Pelodiscus sinensis: one gene and its partner. The protein of the gene in region 1 purifies or fractionates together with the protein of each later gene. This does not show direct contact. Links are inferred from orthologs where the notes say so. Each region holds a gene or a part of one and is shown on either strand. Other genes may lie near its edges.

Region 1 (7,229 bases):
TGGACACCATCATTCTACAAGAGTAATTAAATCTAAAAACGTCCTACAAGCTTGCACATAGATGCAAATATCGCTCTGATGCTCCTAGGATCAAGAACATAGACCTGAATATGCAGCCCTCGGACAACAGCAACATCAACCTTTCCACCAGTTTGGAAAGGAAGTAACTAGTTAATTAGGTCAGTGGTTCTCAACTTTTTCAGGCAATACTCAGCCATTATCAGCTGGTACTCACAGTTTCTTATTCAATTATGCACAGGGCTAAGAAGGTGCAAAAGTCTGAAAAAAGGAAGAATCGGATTTTCAAGAGATCACTTTACATGTCTTCTTAAAAACAAAGGCATTTACACTGTATGACACTTTTAAAATAGCCTTAATTCACCACATCTACCTGCAAGAAAGACCTGCAACTTATACACACAAACACCTACTGTGGAGCTTGGGTTGCCTCAACACAATCCAATAGGTGGGGGGACAGAATCTTCAACTGCCATCTTTGCAAATTCATCTGACTGTATAAACCTATACATTGTAACATCTGAGCCTCACCATGTCACAATATAATGAAATGTCATATCAGGGACCCCATTCCAATTTCAGGATTTCCAAGAAATCCCTTTTCTACAACTGTTTCTATTGCTTACAGGACACAAAGGCATCCTAAGGAAAACCAGAATTGTCTAGTTTGGGTACCATGATATGGGAACCAATATGACTATATATGAGAAGTTGGAGTAATTGTAGGCAGTCAGTCCCTGAAGTACCCTGTACTGGACCTTCCACCCCTAATGACTATACAGCATACTGACTCGACACCCATCACTCAGTAAGGCTACGTCTAGACTACATGCCTCTGGCGACAGAGGCGTGTAGATGAGGCTACCAGGCATAGGAAAATGAAGCGGCGATTTAAATAATCGCCACTTCATTTAAATTTACATGGCTGCCGCGCTGAGCCGATCAGCTGTTTGTCAGCTCAGCGCGGTAGTCTGGATGCGCGGGTGTCGACATCAAAGGCATTTGTCGACCACCCAGGTAAACCTCATCCCAGACTACCGCGCTGAGCCGACAAACAGCTGATCGGCTCAGCACGGCAGCCATGTAAATTTAAATGAAGCGGCGATTATTTAAATCGCCGCTTCATTTTCCTACGCCTGGTAGCCTCATCTACATGCCTCTGTCGCCAGAGGCATGTAGTCTAGACGTAGCCAAAGTGCCTTGCAATCTTTAACTTATTTAACCTTTAGCTAAGGATGTGAAAGTGTAAGCATTTACATGGTTAATCAATGGCTTGAGCTTATTGGTTAACATGCATGGTTACAAGCAAGCCCCACCAGCCACTGCTGATATAGAGGCTGCAGCACCGGAGGGAAAGAGGCAGGCAGAAAACGGTACACACATTGCCAGCATGCAACGTTTCCTCACAGATTCCGACTCCTGTGGAGTTGTCTTCCCTTCCTCTCTCTGTGTTGCTGCATCTGTATCAGATGCAGCAGCGTGCTGATGGAGAGCAAGCGAGAGCTGGCACTCGCAGAGAGCTGGCTTAAAAGTTGCCTCTCAGCACAGACTCCTAGGTAGCCGCTTTGCGTGTAAATGTGTAACTGCTGAAAGTTAAAGGCATTTTAACATCTTTACATATAAATCCCTGCTTGATAGGGAAGTGCTCAGATCTCTATTTTACAGGTAGAGAACTGAGGCAGAGCATCTAAGTGATTTGCCCAAGGTCTCCTAAAGTAGCACCTTACCCACAAAGCATTCCTGTCTCTCAATGTGAGGTGTTGCCTCCACATTTTACACCCACAGCCCAGCACCCCTGTACCCACATTCCCAAGAATACGCCCCCCTCAAGATAGCTAAACAAATTACTTCCAGACTTCTCCCATGCAACATCTGCATCTCTTAACGCCAGAGGCCTCAACAAGTCAGGCGGCACCCTTAAAACCCCAATGTCCTCACTTCATGGCCCTACATCTCCTAGACCAAAGCTGCTTCCATTTTCCATGGCCCCCTAAACCACACCTAGACTCTACTACGAACCTTCACTTCCTCTCCACCCCCCAGCTTCCCTCGCCCCCCCGCTCTCTGCCCCTCCCCCCAGCTTCCCTCGCCCCCCCGCTCTCTGCCCCTCCCCCCCAGCTTCCCTCGCCCCCCTCTCTGCCCCTCCCCCCAGCTTCCCTCGCCCCCCCACTCTCTGTCCCTCCCCCCCAGCTTCCCTCGCGCCCCCCGCTCTCTGTCCCTCCCCCCCAGCTTCCCTCGCCCCCGCTCTCTGTCCCTCCCCCCCAGCTTCCCTCGCCCCCCGCTCTCTGTCCCTCCCCCCAGCTTCCCTCGCCCCCCCCACTCTCTGTCCCTCCCCCCCAGCTTCCCTCGCCCCCCCCACTCTCTGTCCCTCCCCCCCAGCTTCCCTCGCCCCCCGCTCTCTGTCCCTCCCCCCCAGCTTCCCTCGCCCCCCCACTCTCTGTCCCTCCCCCCCAGCTTCCCTCGCCCCCCGCTCTCTGTCCCTCCCCCCAAGCTTCCCTCGCCCCCCGCTCTCTGTCCCTCCCCCCCAGCTTCCCTCGCCCCCCGCTCTCTGTCCCTCCCCCCAAGCTTCCCTCGCCCCCCCCACTCTCTGTCCCTCCCCCCCAGCTTCCCTCGCCCCCCGCTCTCTGTCCCTCCCCCCCAGCTTCCCTCGCCCCCCGCTCTCTGTCCCTCCCCCCCAGCTTCCCTCGCCCCCCCACTCTCTGTCCCTCCCCCCCAGCTTCCCTCGCCCCCCGCTCTCTGTCCCTCCCCCCCAGCTTCCCTCGCCCCCCCGCTCTCTGTCCCTCCCCCCCAAGCTTCCCTCGCCCCCCCCACTCTCTGTCCCTCCCCCCCAGCTTCCCTCGCCCCCCCGCTCTCGGTCCCCGCCAGCTTCCCTCGCCCCCCCCGTTCTCTGACTCTCCCCCCCAAGAGCTTCCCCAACCGGTGCCCGCCCAAGCGCCGCTCACCTGGCGGATCCCGGCGGGCCCCTGGGGCGCGCGCAGCAGGCGAGGCCCGGTCAGCAGCAGGCGCCTCCCCCCCTCACAGGAGCCGCAGCAGCAACAATCGCCACCATCTTGGAATATCCGGCTCCAATGGCCACCGCCGCCGACGTGTCACGCTCCGCACGCGGTGACGCAAACACGTACGCTCCGGCGCCGCACACATGTCATTCCTTTCCGCTCTTCGTTGAGGCGCTTAAAGGGATCGTCGGTTGGGGGGGGTGGGTAAACTCAGCTGCGTCGGCGGACAGAAAACCTAACCATCCCTTTAGGATTCGGCTCTCACGAGCGGCCGTCAGCCCAAGACGGCCAGGAGTGTGAGCATGCGCATTGGTGGGGAACGCTAACCAATAGGGCTTCTGGAGACTTGAGGTTGGCAGGTTCGAGCCCCCGGCAGGGAGCTTTCGGGGAAGCTCTGGCCAGACTGAGCAAAATTCAACTGTTATTCCCGGCTGGGCTGTGCAGTATGTCAGGCCTGCCCACCCAGACCCTACCTCCTTGGGGCACTAGGATCCCTGCCATTGCATCTGGCCTGCTCACTTGCATTGGACTGGCAATGCATTATTAAACACAGCCTTTGGGGCAGATGCTGGGGAGCGGGTGCCTGCCTCTCCAGTATCCCCTGCACTGCACGGGCTCAGGGGTCCTCCCTTCAGGCCCATGCAAAAGCCTGCAGGCCTGGGAGCGCTGTCAGCCCCTGTACTGACAGCCCAGGTGCTGCCTGGGACAAAGATGTCTGGCTGCAATGCTAGCTGGGCAGAGGCGAGCACGGACTAAACTGTAAACATAACACCAAAGGGCAGAACCGAACCTGGGATCTCTGCAGCTTAGTGCAGGAGCTTCTGCAGCTTAAACTATAACAGCAGCTTGCTCTGAGCTAAGGCTGTAGAGCATGATAGAGAAATGACACCCCATAAGCCAGATCCGATCCACAGGGTTAGACCCTGGTGGGCCGCTGCCGCTATGTTTGCCTGCACCTCCACAGGTATTGGAGGATTGCAGCTTTTGGCTGCGAATTGCCATTGACGGCCAATGCAAGTGGGGCAAACGGTGTCCTGGTCCGTGCCGCTCCCATTGGCCACCAACGGCAATTCGCACCCAGCAAGAGCTGTGATTACCCAACACCTGTGGAGGCGCAAATAAACATAGCGGCAGAGCCCGCTGGGCTGCCATTTTATTGCCCACCCCTGTGGAGAGCAAACTCATTCTCTCTCTGTAAGTGGTCTCAGTGCCAGTACATGGGACAGTGAATCATATCCAGTAGGTGTGTGGGTTACACCTGTGTGACCAGAACCCTGATCTGCAGAACTTCCCTGATCTCCCCAAGGTGTCACCAGGCACAGCTGGGGGAAGTCGTGGAAAGTAGGCACTACAGGAAGCACTGCCCAAGGGACGCAGCGTGACCATGCCCTCCAAGGGCACATCTACACAGCAGGGCTAAAGTCGAATTAAGCGGTGCAACTTCAGCTACATCAACTCAGCTTTAGGCGCTGTCTACATTGCAGGAAGTCCAAGGAAGAGCACTCCTTTCTCCTCGTGAAATGAGGGTTACCGCGAGTCAGAGTAAGAAATCTTCTATCATATCATAGAATCATATCATAGAACCATAGAACTGGAAGAGACCTCAGAAGGTCAAGTCCAGCCCCCTGCTCTAGGCAGGACCAATCCCAACTAAATCAACCCGGCCAGGACTTTGTCAAGCCGAGACTTAAAAACCTCTAGGGATGGAGACTCCACTATTTCCCTAGGTAACTCATTACAGTGCTTCACCACCCTCCTAGTGAAATAGTTTTTCCTAAAGACATTATTTTGAAATAAAGGCTTGTCGTGTAGACACGCTCTTTCTTATTTACTAGTGACGTCAGTTATTCTGAAATAACACTGCTGTGTAGACATAACCCAAGTGGCCACGTGCACTGTTTAACCCTGGAGGGTGCGCAGAACATTATCTGGGAAATCACCTAGATTTCTGTGATTCCAAACCTCACGGCTACGTCTACACTGGCCCCTTTTCCGAAAGGGGCATGCTAATTTCACAGGTCGTAATAGGGAAATCCGCGGGGGATTTAAATATCCCCCGCGGCATTTAAATAAAGATGTCCGCCGCTTTTTTCCGGCTTTTAGAAAAGCCGGAAAAGAGCATCTACACTGGCCCCGATCCTCCGGAAAAAAAGCCCTTTTCCGGAGGATCTTATTCCTATTTCAAAGTAGGAATAAGATCCTCCGGAAAAGGGCTTTTTTTCCGGAGGATCGGGGCCAGTGTAGACGCTCTTTTCCGGCTTTTCTAAAAGCCGGAAAAAAGCGACGGACATCTTTATTTAAATCCCGCGGGGGATATTTAAATCCCCCGCGGATTTCCCTATTACGACCTGTGAAATTAGCATGCCCCTTTCGGAAAAGGGGCCAGTGTAGACGAGCCCCATCTGATCTCCCAGGGTGGCTGGAACCATTTGTTTAGTGGGCGTTGTGATGGTGCAGTTCATATTCTTTATAGAAATACGCTTATGAATATAATCAGGGCTCGACAATTAGGGCAATCTACTCGCCCGTGGTGAGTAGATTTTAGCCCGGCACGGCGCCACAGCACGGTCTGCACATGCGCAGCGTGCCGAACCGTGCAGCTGGCGAGCAGGGCTCGCCGCCGCTTGTCAAGCCCCGAATATAATTATGCATAATTGGAAAATGATTTATGCAAAATACTTATTGCACGGTATCACTGGAAAAGTTATAATCCGCAAAATGTGTATATTGTGTTTGTGTCCATGTATTATTCCCATATTGGAAATCAGCAATAGGAAGTAGTACCCTGTGTTACTGATGTAGGCATGCTTAGTAGGGGCCATTAAGGGAATTTCAGAAACTTGAGGGCTCATTGCTAAGGAAATGGGTTTTTTTTCTATGAGCCAGCCCCTAGGAGAGTCCCCACAAGGACCATTAGCGATTTAGTATTTTTCCACAAAGTGGGGGAGGAGGAGACTGGCCAACAAACAAAGTCTTCCCACCTTCTGGACAACCTATTTAAAGGGAGAGGCTCTGGAGCAGGGGTCACCAAACAGTAGATCGGGATCTACTGGTAGAACTTGGAACCTCTGACAGGTAGGGTTACCAGATGGGTTTCAAAAAAAATACCGGACACACATGATCTCAGAATGGGGGGACTGGCCGGGAGGGGAGCAGGGCTGGCCGCGAGAGGGGTGGGGGGAGCGGGGCTGACCAAGTGAGATTGGGGGGGGGGGGGGAAGAGGGGACCAACCAGCAGGAAGCAGGGCTGGCTGGGAGGAGGTTTGGGGGGAGCGGAGCTGGCCAGGGGGGAACTGACTGGCAGGAAGCAGGGCTGTCCGGGAGGGGGTTGGGGGAAGTGGAGCTGGCTGGGGGGGAAACTGGCTGGTGGGAAGCAGGGCTGGTCAGGAGGAGGCTGGGGGGAGCGGGGTTGGCTGGGGGAGATCGGGGGAAGGAATTGGCCAGCGGGAAGCTGGGCTGGTCGGGAAGTGGTCGGGGGGAGCGGGGCTGGCTGGGGGGGGAGTAGGGTTGGCCGGGGGGGGAACCAGCTGGCGGGGAGCGGGGCTGGCTGGGGCGGAGCGGGGAGGAGGAACCAGCCAGCGGGGAGCAGGGCTGATCCAGGCGCACACAGATCCCGGGGTGCTGCCCGTCCCGCGCATGGTCCTGGCGGGGCACACGGGCGAGTCCGGCCCTGGGGATTCCATCCCGCCTCCGCCCCCCTCCTCTCTACTGCCTGGCTGGTGGACATGCTCACGCAGTGTGAGGGTGTTGACCAGCCAGGCAGTACGCAGCTACGTACTGATACTCCTGATAACAGAACTTACAGAATTAGAAAACACCCGACATTTCTATCTCCGCTATTTTCTCATTTGTTTCCCGGACAGAAAGCTCAAATACCGGACTGTCCGGTTCAAAACCGGACACCTGGCGACCCTCGTGGGGCGGCCTGCAGAGCGCGGGGGCAGAGGCAGTTCTGTACTCCAATCGTCTGGGCTTCCTCTGATCGGCTAACTGCCCTGCTGACGGGCCATCCTGACTGGTCTGGCCAAGACGCTATCAAGCGCCTGCACTTCAGGTGCCCTTCCCCCCACTGCTGCGCATCTTCGGCCCTTTGCCTCGGAGCTGCTTCCCTCTACCCCTAGGAGCCTCCTGCTTGCTGGGCAGGGCAGGGCAGGGCAGGGCAGGGCAGGGCAGGGGGAGGAGGGGTGCTGATGTCAAGGTGCCCCCACCCCATTC
Region 2 (7,985 bases), on another chromosome or scaffold:
CAAGCCGCACATTCGCAAATTCTAGGTAAGTGCAGTTAGCAAAACTACCCTATCCCGGGAAACCATTTTGGTTACAACAATCCTGCAGCCCTCAGAGATGAAGGAGGGTCACTCATGAGCCTAGGTTGCCCCTCGCTGCTGTAGCAGCACCACATACACACTGAACCAGACATGACAAGATGAAACCCTGGGAACCCCACACGAGATCATATTCGGGACACAAACTACCCAAAATCCTTGAGACCTCTCAGAAAAGAAAACACAGAAGTGCTCAAGGCAAGACCATATCAGTCTCTGTTAGAATCCATGTTCACGTGATTTGTCAATGGCATTGAGGATAGTTAGAGAGCAAAAAGAATTTGACTTAATCACTATCCACCAACAGGAGACAATCAACCAAGACCACTAATGCAGTTTCTATGTTACACCCAATGCAAAACAGACCTGATGGAGGTCAAAGAGACTGAAGAACGCACGTACTGCTACTGTTTCATGACTATCCTCTATTTCAGTGGTTTTCAACCTGTCAACACAGACTCCTAGGGTTTTGCAGATTATGAGTTTCCAAAGGGGTCCATATCCACTTGACATTTTTTAGGGTTCTGCAAATGAAAACCACTGCTATAGACACTCTTCCTCAGAGCGTTAACCATGTAAGACACAATGAGGAATCCTGTGGCATCTTAGAGACTAACATATTGATTAGGGCATAACCCACTTCATCAGACATAGGAGAAAGATATGTAAGAAATAGTCAGCATCAGGTGTCTTTTTGAGTTGAGGGCGGAGCAGCAGATGCTTTTTTATGCAAAACTAGCACTGTGTCCCACAGAAAGGAAACATTTACAATTAGCTCTCAACACGGTCCATAACCCACCCCAATGGTTGTGTCCAGTTGGCAAAGAAATAGATCTGATCTACAGTGATTTGTCTGTGCTACTCCCACATCTTCACAACTCTAAGAAGCTTCCAGGACTAAATTCCAGAGACAGAGAGAGACAAAGACACATTTGCATGCCCCCCTTTCTCCTGAGAACTAATTCGGCTTTTGCTGAGGCAGAAAGTTTGGTCCAGAGCCATAGACGCTGGTGCTGCTGACTTGAAGCAGTTTCCATTATATTCAGGATTTACAGTTTGGTTCAAAGGACCCTATAGAAATTGTGCCAGCACCCCTGTCCAGAGCTGTTTGAACTTGTCCGCAACATAGGCTGCAAACACTAACTGATATTGTTATCTGGTGCGGCACCTACAGCATGCATGGACATCCTCAAACCCACTAAACAGCACTCATTGCTCAAACCCCCATCCCTCAGGTTCAGAGCTCCCTCCCACATCCTCCCTCGATACTCTCCTTCCTCAGGGTTTCTGTGCAGAGCAGAGCCTGTGAGTCAAACGGGAAGCATCGCAAAACAGGACCTGACAGAATTGGCTACTCCTGACGTAACAGTTAGCTTATCCTGGTTTAGTGAAGGAACGCCTTGCCACTTTAGTTTTAAATGTGGCCTGTATCCGAGATGTTCTCAGAACATTTCTGTGATGTTTGTTAGGCTGTAGGTGTTACCTTGAGAGCGAGATGATCAGGGCAAACAGTTTTTAAAAAAGGAGAAATTGTAGCTGTTTCCTCTGTGAAAGCGAGTCAAGATTTACCAAAAAAACTACACAAAAAATATAACACCGCTCCACACTTTGACCAGTGATATGGGAACCCTCACACCAATGCCAAACTCCTCCACCCCCTCCAATAGCAACATGGTGGCCTCACACACCAACCCCACCCAGAATGGAGGAATCAGTGATGGGGGGGGTCCTCGTCCCTCTTTCACTGCCCAGAACAGTGGCCTGGGGAATCCTCACCCCATTCTCTGAGCGCTCAGGTTGCCACATCCTTCGAGATACAAAACCCCCACAATATTCAGGATGATCTTTCCTCACCACGCTGGGCAGCTGGCAGCGCCCACCAAACACCCAGAGAGACTCCCAGGACAGTGACCCCCAAAACCAGACAACACTGGGGAACCTGGACAGGTAGCGGCCCCGCTCGGCTACAGACCCTGGAGAAGAGCACCCCGACATCAACAGCAGGGTCCTTTCCCCTCCTCGTGTGGCCTGGGGAAAGTGACCCCCACCTTCAATGGGGAGGAGCCCCTCTTCTCACCAGGAGATCCCCTCACCCCATCCCCCCGACGGACTCCCCCTTCTGGCCAGGGGGACCCCCCTCAGCTCATCCCCCACTGGCAGACCCCCCCTTCTGGCCAGAGACACCCCCCCCCTCAGCTCATCCCCCACTGGCAGACCCCCCCTTCTGGCCAGAGAGACCCCCCCCCCTCAGCTCATCCCCCACTTCTTCTGGCCAGGGGGACCCCCCCACCTCATCCCCCACTGGCAGACCCCCCCCTTCTGGCCAGGGGGACCCCCCCCTCAGCTCATCCCCCACTGGCAGACCCCCCTTCTTCTGGCCAGGGGGACCCCCCCATCCCCCACTGGCAGACACCCCCCCCCTTCTGGCCAGGGGGACCCCCCCTCATCCCCCACTGGCAGACCCCCTCTTCTGGCCAGGGGGACCCCCCCCTCATCCCCCACTGGCAGACCCCCCCCTTCTGGCCAGGGGGACCCCCCCTCATCCCCCACTGGCAAACCCCCTCTTCTGGCCAGGGGGACCCCCCCTCATCCCCCACTGGCAGACCCCCCCTTCTGGCCAGAGAGACCCCCCCACCTCATCCCCCACTGGCAGACACCCCCCTCTTCTGGCCAGGGGGACCCCCCCCTCAGCTCATCCCCCACTGGCAGACCCCCCCTTCTGGCCAGAGAGACCCCCCCCTCATCCCCCACTGGCAGACCCCCCCTTCTGGCCAGAGACCCCCCCTTCTGGCCAGAGACCCCCCCCCCTCATCCCCCACTGGCAGACCCCCCCCTTCTGGCCCGGGGGACCCCGCCCGCCAGACCCACCTGCTGGCGGCGCCACAAGCCCCCTCCGGCTCCGCTTCGCAGCGCCCGACGATCCGTGTCCCGGCAGCGCCCGCGCCGGAAAGGCCAGCTCAGCGGCGGGGCTGCCCGCAAGCGAGATGGCGGCGCGGGCGCCTCGGCCGCGACCGTGCCCTTCCCCAACATGGCGGCGCCTGCGCGCGGCACCCAGGCGCCCAAGGGCGGTCGCCATGATGGCTAAGGGCACCCGCGCCTCCATACGGGCTTCCGCCCTCAGCCACGATGGCGGGCGGGCTCCACGCCCCGCCCCTTGCGGGGTTTGCGCTGACTCGCCCTTCCACGGGCGCTGGCAGCTGATGCAGACAGGCCCCGCCCTCCAGCCAGCCCTGCTAGGAGGCTGCAGGGGCGTGGGGGTGGAGCTGCCCTGTGCTCCCTGAGGGGGGGGGAACACCTGGCAACAGTGCACACCTCCCCGCCCCCAGCACACACACACCAGCCTCCCCCCAGAGTGCAGTCACACAACAGGCACCTCAGTCCTGGGACGCGCCTCCTTTGCCGGGCGCTGTTAAAACAAGCGGCACCTTCAAAGGCCCTTGTCTGGCATCAAAGCGTGCGTCCCCCAGGCCTTGTAACAAAGCATCCTCACAGGGCATCCACATTGGCACCGCACAAACCGCTCCTAGGTCCTCACACTGATCAGGGGGCCCACGCGGCCCCGGGGTGCCCCCAAAAAGAGTCAGCACAAACCCACGAACGCAGAGAAATGGGAAACCTGAGGGGTGGAATAAATATTCGGCCACCACGTCAATAGATGCTTGGAGCATGACAGAGGTGGCTATGAAACGATGGAGAAGTGAGATTCAACAAAACACACGCAGTGATGGTAGGTGTTTGCGGGAAGACCAAGGGCCAAGCTCACATCTAGTGTCAGTAGAAGATGAATCCAGTTTTGAAGACTCAAGACTTGATGGACGAGGGGAATTTTTCACTGTCTTAGAGATAAATAGTTAATCGGCTGCGCAGCCATTAAATAACACCCCTATTGTTTGTGTATGAAAGGCTAAGGCTGGTAAAACCAGATGCCATCTCTTGATAAGGTGTTCTCCATTAGCTAAGAACTGATAAAACTCACAGCTGGATGAGGTGTGCATAAGGGGGCAGGCAGGGGCACAGATCTCTTCCCCCTAATAAGCAGCAGGGGATGCAAAGTTCCTCTAGTCTCAGGGCCCTCATGATAATATTATCTACTCAAAGTAACAGTTAATAGTAATTTGCATTGTGTTCCTGTCTGTGGAGCCCCAATCACTGACCAGGACCTAGTGCTAGACACTGTACAAACACCCAACAAAAAGATGCCAATAGCAAAATGAACAGGAAGAAAAGCTCTGTAGATCTTGAAAGTTTGTCTCTCTGCCCAACAGAGGTTGTTGCAATGAAAGATGTTACCTCAGCACCTTATTTCTTTAATATCCCGGGACTAACATGGCTACAACACTGCCAACAGAATTAACAAGTAGTGGGTAAGACGCTATCTAGCTTGTATTGTGATTTTCAGGTCTCGGATGTGTTGCTTTTGTCTCTTATTCACTTGTTTTTTGGGGGCTTCTAGACTCAGAGAGGAACAAATGACAGCAAGGACCATGCTGTGAATCATTTCCTATCATCATCTTAAGAAGTGGGTTTCGCCCACCAAAGCTCAGGATACTACATTCTTGTTAGTCTCTAGGACAGTGGTCCCCAACCTTTTGGGGCTGCCGGGCGCCCGGGGGCGGGGCCATGCACAGGCAGTGCACCCTGGGGCGGGGCCGCACATGCACTGCGAGCCCGGGGCCGGCACCGACATGTGCCGTGGCCCCGGGACAGGGGCCACCCATGCGCCACGCGCCCGGGGCCGGCACAGCACATGTGCCATGTGCCCGGGGCGGGGCCAGCCCAAATTGTTTAGCGGGAGCACATAAATGGCCCAGCAGGCGCCATGGTGCCCACGGGCACCACATTGGGGACCACTGATCTAGGGTGCCACAGCACTACTTGTTGTTTTTAACGTTACCGACTAACACAGCTACCCACTGAGACATTTTCTACCAAGAAAACTACAACTCCCAAGATGCCTCCTTTCTGCCTCCACTCCCAGCCAACCCAACACCGCTTGGCTTGAAACTGTGTTTCCGCTCCTCCTGCTGCAGAGCCATGTCCCAGGTGCAGCTTCCTCCCATGAAAGCTGTTATAGTGCCTGGGAATGGGGCAAGCAATGTAGAGAAATGCAACTGGTACGGATGGGCATGGAAAAGACTAGGGCAGGTAAGACATGGCAGTGGCAAAAGGTTTGATCTGACCTGTTTATTTACGCTCCTGCCTACCTCACCAGCTATTTGGAACACCCTAAGTCAGGCAGGCACCTGGCTTCTTTTTCTAATGAAGTTGTCTGCCCCCAACCTCTGCTTCCCTCTTGTGTGGTTTAGCATATACCTTCCCTTTCTTTAAATCCACAGCTGGCAAGCAGGAGGGGGCTGCGGAAGGGTCCTGCCAGAACATCTGCAGTGAAGCAGAGAGGGGGAGCCTCTTTAGGGAGACTCTTGTTTTTCTTGTGCTAAGAAAGCTTGTTCAGCATTAGATGTAAGCAACTTTTTCCGTGATTCTTGTCTTTGTCATGCGACATTCTCCCCTCCTCCTCCTGGCTTGTTCACAGCTCTCTAGCACTGATTTGAAGGGTGCATGAAGAAGGCTGCAGTGGATAGTGCTTTCTGTAGAGACTCTCACTTGGTTTTCTATACTCCCACTTGGGTATTTCTGTTATGAAGTTCAGCCACTGGACATCACATGGAGGAGAAAACACAGAAATAGGGGATGACTGATTTGCAAACACTAGAGTGCAGTGATTGGTGACCCCTGGGAGTGGGTGGGAGAGATTGCTGGTAATTCAAACAAGAAATATTTGTAAAATCAGCAGTCTTTTTCAACTCCTGGTGCAATATAGTTGCAGTGCTTTACATTTTCAAAGCACCAAGTAAACCCTCAATCTTCTCCATGTGCCTGGGACTCACTCCCTCCCCCCTGCCCAGTGCACCCCAAATATTTAACCTTTCAACCTAACACTGTAGCAAGACCCATCTACATAACCCTGAAGACCCATTGGAGGAAAGCAAGTGTAACCACTGCAACAGTTTGCTTGCCAAGGGACTGCACAACCTTTGATAATGCAATCATTGGTCTTCTCCACACAGATACCTGGTTTCCAGTGTTTACTTCGAAATATGCCTGACCCAGGTAAGTCTGTTTTACCTTCTCCCTGTATTTTGCATTATCCCACTGGCAATATTTCCAGAAAACGAATATGAGCCTGCTTTATCTCAGTGGCTGTCTTCATTCCGGGGGAGTTCCCGCACCCCAATCCAAATGGGATATGTTTGCACTGCAACATTATTTCAAAATAACTGTCTGCTGCGTAGACACGGACTAAAATAACTTAATTAGTCCGCATCTACACAGCAGGTAGTTATTTCGAAATAATTTCAAAATACTGTAAAGCTGGAAGACTTCTTACTCCAACTCCTGTAACCCTCATTGTATAAGGAGTTAGGGAAGTCAAAAGGAAGAGTGCTCTATTTTGAAATAAGCGCTGTGTAAATCCTCTCTATTTTGAAATAAGCTATTTTGAAATAAGCTACGCAGTTGACGTGGCTTAATTTGCGTAGGTTATTCTGAGTTAAGGCCTGCTGTGTAGATGTGCCCTGGGAGACGCACAGCCTGCTGAAATGCTTTGCTGGGGAGAGGGTTTGGATGCTCCTGAATGTTTTATGTGCACATACTGTGATGCAGAACATTGCTCGTGTGCAGACAGTACATGCTTGACTGCGTCCTGCAAGCCCCAGAGATTGTACCAGGCCCTGGATGAGCTGGGTAGCTTAGCAGGGAAGTATTTATGAAGGCCACACTCCAGGTTGCTACTGCTGCCAGTAGTTCTAGACAAATAGTGTCTGTCTCGGCTCAGTTTGCAGCAGACTGGTGTCCACCACACCATCCCCATTAGAACTGGTTTTCGAGAGGCCAAAGACTGAGCCTTGGAAGGTTAAACCTCACACTGACCCTTAAACCTGACATCTCCAGGTCCATGTGGAGTTACTTTAGGTGGGGTAGCAAGGTTGGAACTGGCACAGCTGCAGTGTATGTTTAACTCATAGTGGGGCTAAACAGAGGCCTTTGGTCTTCATAGCTGCTAACCTTACCCCTTCTGCAAGCACTAAACTCACTAAGAATTAAATAAAGAGAAAATCCCCCAGAGAGCTGTATGCAGAGCATGCTAGCTGGGCGTGGGGAGGAGGGGGGTGGATAAGGAAAGGCAAAGCAATTGAATCTCTTCTCTGCAAATCAGTTACAGCTCGAGAGAACATCTGGCTGCCATTCATGGAATCAGAACTGCACTGCGATGGGCAGACTATCCTTATTGGACACAGCTCTGGGGCTGCTGCTGCCATGAGGTACAGTACAGGGGGTAAGGCACTGAGTTTCCAGTTTTGCAGTCTAATGGGATCATGACCATTTCAGCTAATGATCCCAGAGCTGCTCCACTTGAACTCAATGGCAAAATTGCCCCCTGCCGTCAGTGTGAGTAGAATCCTTCTGACAAGATTAGCACCATATGTAAGGGATTGAGAATGTGGTGGGGTACTGGAGGGCTTATCTGCTGTTGAAGAACTAGACATTTAACAGTGGGAACGGAAAGCCACAGTAAAATACCCTCAGCTAAATCTAATGTAATAGTTGGGGTGCTATGGCATTACGTGATGCACCTGAAAATCCTTGGGTGACTTGCCTGTAGCTGTAACCTCTCCAAATCCTTTACATGAATATTGCCCCATCTTTGCTTAAAGGACATTGCAAAACCCTGCTGTTAGATTTTATCAGTTACTCTGGCTGTGCCTAGACTATGCAGTTCTTTCTAAAAAAAGAAGTGGAAAAAGATACACAAATTGCAGTTCTCAATTTGCGTATCTTTTTCCAGAAGAGGCTTTTCTGACATTTGGCCTGTCTACACTGAGCCAAATGTCGGGAAAAAAACTTTT

Evidence for each region. Proteins that work in one complex are often made in the same cells at the same time.
Region 2: the proteins of SEC16A (region 1) and SEC23B purify together in Homo sapiens (affinity purification with mass spectrometry; 3 studies listed by BioGRID and IntAct, with this or other methods). This does not show direct contact. The link is inferred for Pelodiscus sinensis from reciprocal best matches to the Homo sapiens genes SEC16A and SEC23B.

What each region holds. Positions count from the first base shown.
Region 1 is NC_134732.1:20,375,258-20,382,486, reverse strand, and holds the start of SEC16A (protein transport protein Sec16A), read right to left. Parts: upstream 3,121-7,229; 5' UTR 2,961-3,120; intron 1-2,960. UniProt on the Homo sapiens protein: Acts as a molecular scaffold that plays a key role in the organization of the endoplasmic reticulum exit sites (ERES), also known as transitional endoplasmic reticulum (tER).
Region 2 is NC_134713.1:193,975,530-193,983,514, reverse strand, and holds the start of SEC23B (protein transport protein Sec23B), read right to left. Parts: upstream 3,104-7,985; 5' UTR 2,947-3,103; intron 1-2,946. Other genes in the region: serine hydrolase RBBP9, read left to right, coding at 5,113-5,223, 6,147-6,189, 7,295-7,400. UniProt on the Homo sapiens protein: Component of the coat protein complex II (COPII) which promotes the formation of transport vesicles from the endoplasmic reticulum (ER).